Neurospora crassa OR74A: one gene and its partner. The protein of the gene in region 1 interacts with the protein of each later gene in a pairwise test. Links are inferred from orthologs where the notes say so. Each region holds a gene or a part of one and is shown on either strand. Other genes may lie near its edges.

Evidence for each region. The genes of interacting proteins can lie anywhere in the genome.
Region 2: the proteins of NCU04188 (region 1) and NCU06713 interact in binary tests that used the Saccharomyces cerevisiae proteins (3 or more experiments, as listed by UniProt). The link is inferred for Neurospora crassa OR74A from reciprocal best matches to the Saccharomyces cerevisiae genes VPS68 and VPS55.

Annotation. Positions count from the first base shown.
Region 1 is NC_026505.1:5,140,335-5,144,426, reverse strand, and holds NCU04188 (UPF0220 domain-containing protein), read left to right. Parts: upstream 1-1,334; 5' UTR 1,335-1,739; coding exon 1,740-1,838; intron 1,839-2,027; coding exon 2,028-2,386; intron 2,387-2,577; coding exon 2,578-2,641; 3' UTR 2,642-3,413; downstream 3,414-4,092. Other genes in the region: cot-2 (glucan synthesis regulatory protein), read left to right, coding at 1-305; NCU04187 (cap binding protein), read right to left, coding at 3,590-4,092. UniProt on the Saccharomyces cerevisiae protein: Involved in vacuolar protein sorting.
Region 2 is NC_026505.1:4,358,669-4,363,237, forward strand, and holds NCU06713 (vacuolar protein sorting protein 55), read left to right. Parts: upstream 1-1,591; 5' UTR 1,592-2,084; coding exon 2,085-2,337; intron 2,338-2,439; coding exon 2,440-2,573; 3' UTR 2,574-3,207; downstream 3,208-4,569. Other genes in the region: pca-6 (proteasome component PRE5), read right to left, coding at 139-786, 893-1,004, 1,124-1,161; NCU06714 (para-aminobenzoic acid synthetase), read right to left, coding at 3,208-4,569. UniProt on the Saccharomyces cerevisiae protein: Involved in protein transport from endosomes to the vacuole.

The DNA.
Region 1 (4,092 bases):
ACGGAAAGCCAAGCCCATTGGCGCGCGTTGCTGAGGAGGCACCCCCCACAACCTCTCTCACGGCTAGCAACGCCTCCCTCGAGGCCAAAGCCGCCGACAACTTGATGGAGTTGAACACCCCAAGGACAAGCGGAGAGCATAGCAAGGAGGATATCAAGGTCAATGAGGATTCTCCCGCCAAGGAAAGGACAAGCGAGGATAAGGAGAAGAAGCCTGAAACCGAGGCGAACGGAAAGGCGACGGAGTCAAAGGGCAAGCAAACGACAGTCGAAGACGCCGAGGACATGAAGGATATCGAGATTTAAAAGGGAACAAATCGAAGCGACCCAACGAACTCGTCAACTCATGGGTCACCATTGAGTAGCTGGCCCAGCAAACTGCTTCCTCACCATGCGCAGGGCACGGAGTCAGACAAGGTGTAATGTTTCTCCCTAATCTGATATCTTGACGCCTCCTCGAGCCAGTTGTCCTCTCTTGGCCGAATATAAGGGCCATCGCATGATGAAGGGGCAGGTCACGAATCTTTCTCTTCCAATTACTTCTTCCTCGCCACCATACGATTAGTCTCTATCGTCTAATCGGGTTCTTTCATGATGCGGGGGTTTTCCCTGCGTTGTCCTCTCGCCTGTTTGGCCAAGGAGAGGGGGGTTTTCGAGGGACAATCTCGTTGCATCGCCGAAGTTTGAATATTGTATGTACACTAAAAGGGGATCATTTTGACTTCGACTGGTGGGTGGGACCTTGTTGTGGTCTGCCCGACGCCGCCCGCAGAAGACATTTTCAGCTTTGCACTATTGTTTACTATTACACTGCATAGCGTCATAATAACTCTTTCTGTCTTTATTTTCTGCATCCAAGCTGTCTTGGCTTCTGGAGGGGAACTGTGGTTACTTACTTCCCCTGGTGCTGTCGTTGGCTGGTTGTCAGCCACATGGAAGGAAGTTCACGCTCGGATGCTGAGTTGGTACCGTTGTCAGTGATTTATCGAACTCGGAAGGCGCTGATTTTTTTTTTAAAGTTCGGACTGTTATTAGGGGGAGTTCGAAGAGGGTGGTCGAGGGAACAAGTGCTTTGTATTTACATGGGAAGGGTATAGACATGGATGGTAGGGAGAGAATCAACAAAGCGTAAAAACATACTCTTGCTCTTTCATGCGATGTTCGGTGCAGATTCAACATAACAAAAATTAACATGCAACAATGTCACCACAAAGGCTGTCACGTGCCACTAAACGCTTAGGCCACAGCCTTGGGACGGCCGACCCACAGTAATTGGACAAGCAGGTCCCTGCTTACAGTGGAGCACCTGCCCGCCAGCCCGCCTGGCACCGCGGCGTGCGGACGTCGTCATCCTCCAGTTCCAGATCGACGACAGAGCTATCAGAGAGGAACACCAAAAGCATCATTGCCCAACGAGTTGCTCCAGTCACGTCAACTACAACTACTCTACCGATTGATCGACTGGTAGACGACGATTCCGCAATCGCGCGCAGTCATTTTCACAACCCGGGGCGACCGATACCACCGACGGACGACAGATAGGCATCTCAGCTCAGCTCTGATAACCACCACCACCACCACCACCACCACCACCACCACCACAACTCCGACTGCCGACACCGAATCGCGATCGCATCGTCACCTAGTTAAATCTACCCTGGGCTTGCGACACTACCGTAGAAGCCAGCGCATAAGAGAAAGAAGAAAGACATACAAGAAACAACAACACGACACAAACAAATGACCATGTCGGAAGAACGCCTCTTTAGATTCTCCAGGCCTGAATGGCTTAACAGCGCGTGGGTGAGGAACGCGGGGGTTTATGCTGCTGGTGCTTTTGTACGTTTTTTTTCCTCTTTTTTCTTTTTCTTTGGCGCCTATTCTCTCCTTCCCGGACCTGACGTTGTGACCTTCCTTGCCATGATACCATGCCATGCCATGATCCTCTCTCGCTGTTATGGTTCATACATAATTTTCGTCATCCTCCTCCATATCAACGTACAGTCCGCTAATGCAATGAAAATCCAGTTCTCCCTAGCCTTCTACACCCTCCTCGACTCGGCCGTCTGGTCCCACTCCCCCCTCAACGCCTCGGACGTGCACATCCACTTTGTCGACTGGCTGCCCTTCATCTTCAGCACGCTCGGCATGCTCATCATCAACAGCGTCGAGAAGGCGCGACTTTCTTCCGAGAGCTTCTCCTACAGCGGCAGCGGTGTGGCGTGGAAGGCGCGCGTGGTGCTGTTTTTGGGCTTTGCGTGTCTGGCGGGTGGTATGGCCGGTGGTGTCACGGTGTTCGTGCTCAAGTACGTGGTGAAGGATGTTGGGTTTCCGGCTTTGAGAATGGGGGTGGAGAACTTGGTTGCTAATGGGTTGGTTGGGTTGAGGTGAGTTTTCCCTTTTCTTATCCCCTCAGTTCCTTTTTCTTTGGTTCTTTTTGGGGGGGTTTATGCGAAAGAGAGAGAGTTAAAAGATGGCGGCGAGAAGGGTAAAGAGGAGATGACGAGGAAACAAGAAGGACCCATGATCTTTGCAAGTCCACATACTAACTAACAACCTCTCTTCAATAACAAAACAGCGCTGTCGTCCTCTGGATCTCCCAAAACATGGAAGACGAATACTCTTACAACCTCGCGCTGTAAGTCGCCGGGTCCGGTTCGGTTCGGTTCGGTTCGGTTGTGTTGCGCTTCAAAGGAGTATGGCTATGATCGATTTCTCGTCTCGAAGATCCTCGCCCGCACACACACACATATATACACACCACAGTAAGGGCACAAAAAAAAAAAAAAGAAAAAAAAAACCAAAACCAAAACCCGCCTTACCTACTGCTACCAAACACGCACTAGATCTACGACACCAAGTCTCCCCCCTCACAGCAAACAGGTCTGACGAAGTACCTTCCAGTCCGGCGCAGGGGTGAAGAGAGGGGACTTGGGGGTTGGAGGAGGAGTAGAAGGAAGGTAGGGTAAGGTTGGCTACGGACTAGAGAAAATAGGTCTTTATGCCGGGCACCGAATCAGGAAACCGCATGTAAGGACTCGGTTTTCCTCGTCATTGTTATGAACTGGATGAGTTGGGATGAAGTGGAACGAACAGGACATGTATACTTTTATTGATATGGAAGGACCATGAAAACTTGCGCCCAGGGAGACGGATGGTTGAGTTGGAGGGATCACTTGGGTAGCTATTGATTCTGCGTTGGGATCACGCTAGGGCTAAGTTATGTACCGTTATTGAACGGAATCAAAGAGGAAAACAACCCAAAAAAAAGTTATGGCGAAGCTGTAGAATCTCAAGAACAACAGCTCCTGGTTTCTAGTTTCAGATGTTTAGCATCATTTACTCTCACCTGTTTTCCATGCATCATCGATGGCCAAATGGCACGAAGACGCAAGCAGATCTTTTGAACTAAGCTTCCATTTTTATGTACCTCCCAACGCTATGAAAACCCCATCCAGCCAGACTACTGAATCGGCTGGCCCTTTATTGAATACGAGCCCGAGAAAAAGACAAACCCTTCAAACCATCGAGTTCTAGTATAACCTCATCCCCTCTTTCGTAAAAGGTATTCAGTTATACGAGACAACTGTTCAAGCAGTTACCTCAGCAGCCGCATCAACAGAATCAACAGCCATATCGTCCTCCTGTGCCGGCGCCGCCGCTAGCTCCGCAGCAGCAGCAGCCGCCTTCCTCTCCCTCTCCTTCCGAGCCTCGACAATGAACGCCTCTTCAATTGCGGCTCTACGCTTAAACACTCTGAGCCAGCGCTCGCCCCACCTCTTGACGAGCTTCTCCGTCTCGCTGGTCCCATCACCCTCGCCCAGACCATCGCTGGCCTCAAGCATCTCATCCTTGGAACCCGACGCCCAAGCGAACAGGGCATCCTCAATGGCACGGAACAACGAGCGCATGCCGTTGATCTCAGCCTCGATGGTCTCGTCGTCAATCATAGCCTCGGGCAGTGTAGCCTTCTGCAGTACCTGTCTCAGACGGGAAGTGACCTTGACGACGGTGTTGAACACCATTTCGTAGACGAAGCCCTTGGCGAGCGCCTCGCCGCGGGTGGCGCCGGCGTACGTGGTGATGGCCCAGT
Region 2 (4,569 bases), about 780 kb from region 1:
CGTCATGATGTCAGTAGACACAAAACAATGCATTAACATAAAGGGGACTTGTTCATCTCATTACTTCATTCCGGGTGTATGCGCTCCATGTGCTAAATCTGCACCTATGCCTCAAAGCAAACCCCACATTTTCAACCTTTAGCTATCGACATCCATACCCTCGCCCTCGGCAGCTGCCGGGGCAGCCTCTTGGTTATCCGCCACACTCTCTATCCATGCGCTGACGTCTTGTCCATCGTACACCATGAATGGCTGCGGCTTGGTCGTGCCGTCCTCCTGCTTCTCGACACCCACAATGGCGACGCTGGTATTGTCGATGGTCAACTCGCGGTCTTGCACCAGGCTCTCCTTGAGCGCCTTGAGACCATGACGAATCAGCTCCTCGCGGCCGCAGTCGGCAAAGGCCTCTAGGTTCTTCTCCAAATATGTGCGCGCCATCTGGCTGCGGGCGCCAATGGCAAAGGCCACCATCTCCTCGGTCATGCCGCTGGGCTGGAACTCGAAAAGGTGCGGGCCGTGGTCGTCAACGCCGGCGACCAGGAGACCGACACCGTAGGGCCGCTTACCGTAGTGTTGCGTGTTGATCTGCGCCTTGGATCCGATCATGTCGACAAGGGTCCGCACGGGCATGTTGCGGCCGTACGTGAGGCGGTGGCCGAGGGACTGCTGCTTCATGAAGTTGGAGAGGACGCGCGCGTCCGAGGTGAGGCCGGCGATGGCGATGCCGACATGTTCGTCGATGGGAAAGAGCTTCTTTTGGTACGATGAGAGTTCTTCGGCGTTACGCTGGACAAAGTGACAGGAACATGGTCAGCTTCACTTGGCCCTAGGATGGATGGGAGGATACATGTATCGGCAGGGTGGTGCGCGAGGGGTGGTCGGGGCGAAGTACCTTGATCGCTACCAGGACGGCGTGTGTCTTGCTAGCAATTCCCACCACCACCGAACCCTGCTTTACTGCTTCCGCCGCATATTCGACCTGGAAAATTCGCCCTTGCGGAGAGCTGGAGGGAAAGCAGTTGTTAGCTGAATGTCGAGGGCAGACCTCGTCAAGTGCAGAGCTTTGGGCGTTTGGAAGCAGGGCCCCCAGTCTAGCTGGCGGCTGCGGGACAGCTTCGCTTACAATGTGACCGAGTCGTTGTCGTAGTTGTTCCTGAACATGGCTGCTGGACACCTCTATCGAGGAGACTGGGAAACAAGAGCAGATTGCGGCGGGGGTATCGGGGATTTTTGCCGGCAAGTATCTCGTCGGTTTCTTCTGGCGGGTGTTTGGAGGACGCGAAAGATTGTTGTTTGTGCTGATAGTGACGATGGTGGTGGTGTAGAGGTAGTCTGGGTGGGATGGATGGGGGGAGGTCAGTGGACAGTGGTTGCTTCCTCCCGCGGGCAGTTGCGCAGGCAGCTCCTAGCTTCGTCAGGTCCCGCCGCCCAGGCAATGAGGATGGATGTTGGGTGACGGAGGGCGGGAACAGGCAACGCGCGGGCGGGCAGGCAACTGGTACGTCGCTGCAGGTACCTCCCTTGCCCGCCAAAAGAAAGTCAGACCCACTTTTGCTTGTACTCACCTTATAGGACTTGTAGTGTAAGTGCGGGCGGCCAGGTGCGCGCTACATAGGTAGAGGTAGGTATGGAACGGAATGCGCTGAGCGAGAGCCAGGAAGAGGCTGACTGACGACAGCCAAAGCGTCAGTGCGGGCAGTCGTCACTTGTTCCCGCTCGCTGGAGCTCCTCCAACGACACGGGCAACTCTCCACCACAACCTGGAAGCACACTGCATCACCACCATCACGAGTTGTCGCCTGCTACAGCAACGAATCGACGAAGCGCGCAAGCCGAGTAACCCACGCGATAGTTTGTCAGGTTCTCGATCACAAAAAACAGCAGGCAGCGCTTACACTACATTTCCATCGATTACCAGTTAGCCACGTCTGCGCAACAAACACCTTTGATCCCGGCAGGCCCGCGACACTCCGACTCTACCTGGGCAGATTCTCCGGGTTACCGGCGTAAACGACGCCCTGATTTCAACTGTGCCCAAAACTTGAACGCCTTCGCAACCAGAAGCTTTCACATATCCACCCGAGATGGCAGCAGGACTCAAGACCATCATCGCGCTCTCCTTCGTCTTGGCGGTGGGCTTCCTCCTCGTCATCTTGTCATGCGCACTATGGAAGGCATACTACCCGCTGCTGGTGGTGGCCACCTACGTGTTGGCGCCCATACCCAACTGGATCTGCAGCCATTGCGCCAATCCGGACGACTTTGTTGAGAGCTCGGGCGCTGCGGTGTTGGATCTGGGTCGCTTCTGCACTGGTTTCCTGGTCATGATGGGACTTGGTAGGTTTACTCCTCCATCTTGTGGCTGGCGTGTATCCTGTGTTTGTGTTGTGTTGCATGTACGGTAGCTGACATCTCTCTCCTCCCCTCTTCGACAAACAGCTCTTCCAGTTGTTCTCGCAAACTCGGCCATCATCACGGTCCCGGCCATGATCATGTCCGTTATCGGTGGCCTGTTGATCTATGGCACCATTATCAGCTTCGCCATGTTCTTCCAGGAAGAGCAAGACTTCTGACTAGCCGACCAATAATTTCGACTACGACAGAATGGTCCAGAGTCTGAGACACACACAACAATGACACAGAACTACAAAGAGGTAGCGACTTCCGAACAACGGTTGGGTGCGGAACCGATTTACGCATGGTGGGAGACCATGATTGTACAAGTGCCGGGACTTGAGCCGGATGACAGCTATGGGATATGATCAAATGGGTTTCGGGAAAGAGGCGGGCACTGGCTGATGAAGCGCTTATGGGCTGGGCTGGATTTGGATTATTACGAGACAGTTATGGGGTTATTTTATGCCGTGATCAATCATCTAGCGAGAGGGCTTGACGTCTTCTTTCTCTCCACTTGCAATGCTTCGCGTTGAAAAGTCTACTTTCTAATCCCGCCGTAAGGTATGCATCCGTTGAGCTAATATAACAGCCACAAAACTCCAACCCATTTTAACCTTGACACCAAGACGACACCCTAGATATGTTGGATATCGTGTTCTTCTAACCCTAACGCACGCTTGGGCCCAAAATGATGAAGTTATCTTGCTTTTGTTTCACGTCTTCCCTTTCTTCCACAGCCTCTGGCCGCAGACCAGCTCTGCTCGCCATAGAACCCCCCCTCACCCTCTGTCTCTCACCAATTCATCGAGTCTAACCCAGCTCCGCAAACACCTTCAACGGCCCAGCGAGTTTCGTAAACATTTCCTCCCGCTCACCCTCAGGGGTACTCAGAATGGTAACCGCTCCTCCAGCGCCAATATGCCACACCTCATGTTCTTCCTCACTCTGGCCATCTTCTCCTTGTCCCTGCACAGTTACCCGCTCATCGTCCCACCGGAACAGACTTCGGATCGTCACGCTCCAATCTCCTCTGCCGCTGACACACATGTAGCCAACAACACCCGAGTACAAACTGCGCTCACTGTTCTGCTCAATTTGCTGCAACAGCTCGCAGCTGCGTTTCTTGGGGGCTCCCGTCATGCTTCCCGGCGGCAGACTAGCCGCGAGGACGTCCAGTCCCGTGTATCTCTTCTCGTCATCAGAGGGTGGGGGTAGCTGCCCTTCAACAACAGTAATCATCTGAAACACACTCTGATACTCCTCCACCTTGAGCAGATCGCTCACCTCAACGTTACCCGCCCCGCAAATCGAATGCAAGTCGTGCCGGACCAAGTCGACAATCATCAGGTTCTCGGCTTCCTCCTTGGGCACGTGCAGAATCTTCTCTGCCTGCTCGAGCGTCGAGACCGCTTCCGACTTGCGCACTGTTCCCTTCATCGGCCGCATTGAGCACCGCCCGTGCCGGTTGTACGTCAAGAACCGCTCGGGCGAGGCGCTGACGAGCGTCGCGCCGCCGAGGCGCAGGTAGGACGCGAATGGGGCTGGTTGTCGGGAGCGGAGCTTTTTGTAGAGATGCCAGGAGGAGGGGATGGGGGAGGAGGAGGAGGAGGAGCGACGCTGTTGCTGCTGCTTTCGGTTGAAGGTTGAGTTTATTCGCTGTTGTTGTTGTTGTTGTTGCTGTTGTTGCAGTCCTTGATTTTCTTGTGGAGCAGATGACGGGATCATGTCGCTCAGGGGCCGAGTGATCTTGGTTTGGTCTGTGAGACAGAGCTCGTAAGAGTCGCCGGCTGCGATGAACTCTTGACAGGCCTTGACCTTGGCCTCGTATTCCGGTATCAGAGGTGTCTGTATTGAGGGGCTTGTAGAAGGATGGCGCGTCTTCACCTTCTTGGCGGGTGAAGGCAAGTCGTCGAGAAATGGGTGTCGGTGATGGGCAGAGACTGAAACAAGTCGGTCTGCGGTGCTCCGCATCCAGGCAGCATCGTCCAAGCTTGCATCAGAAGAATATAACTCCTGGATATGGGCCAAGCCAAGACGGTGATCTATGACCACGCTCTTTGTTACCCATGCCAGACAGACGTCAGGTCGGTGGTGTGGGCGTGTTTCCAGACGGATGTCGATGTCACTCAGGCCTTGTTCATAGGTGATGAAACCTATGAATCCTCCCAGGAA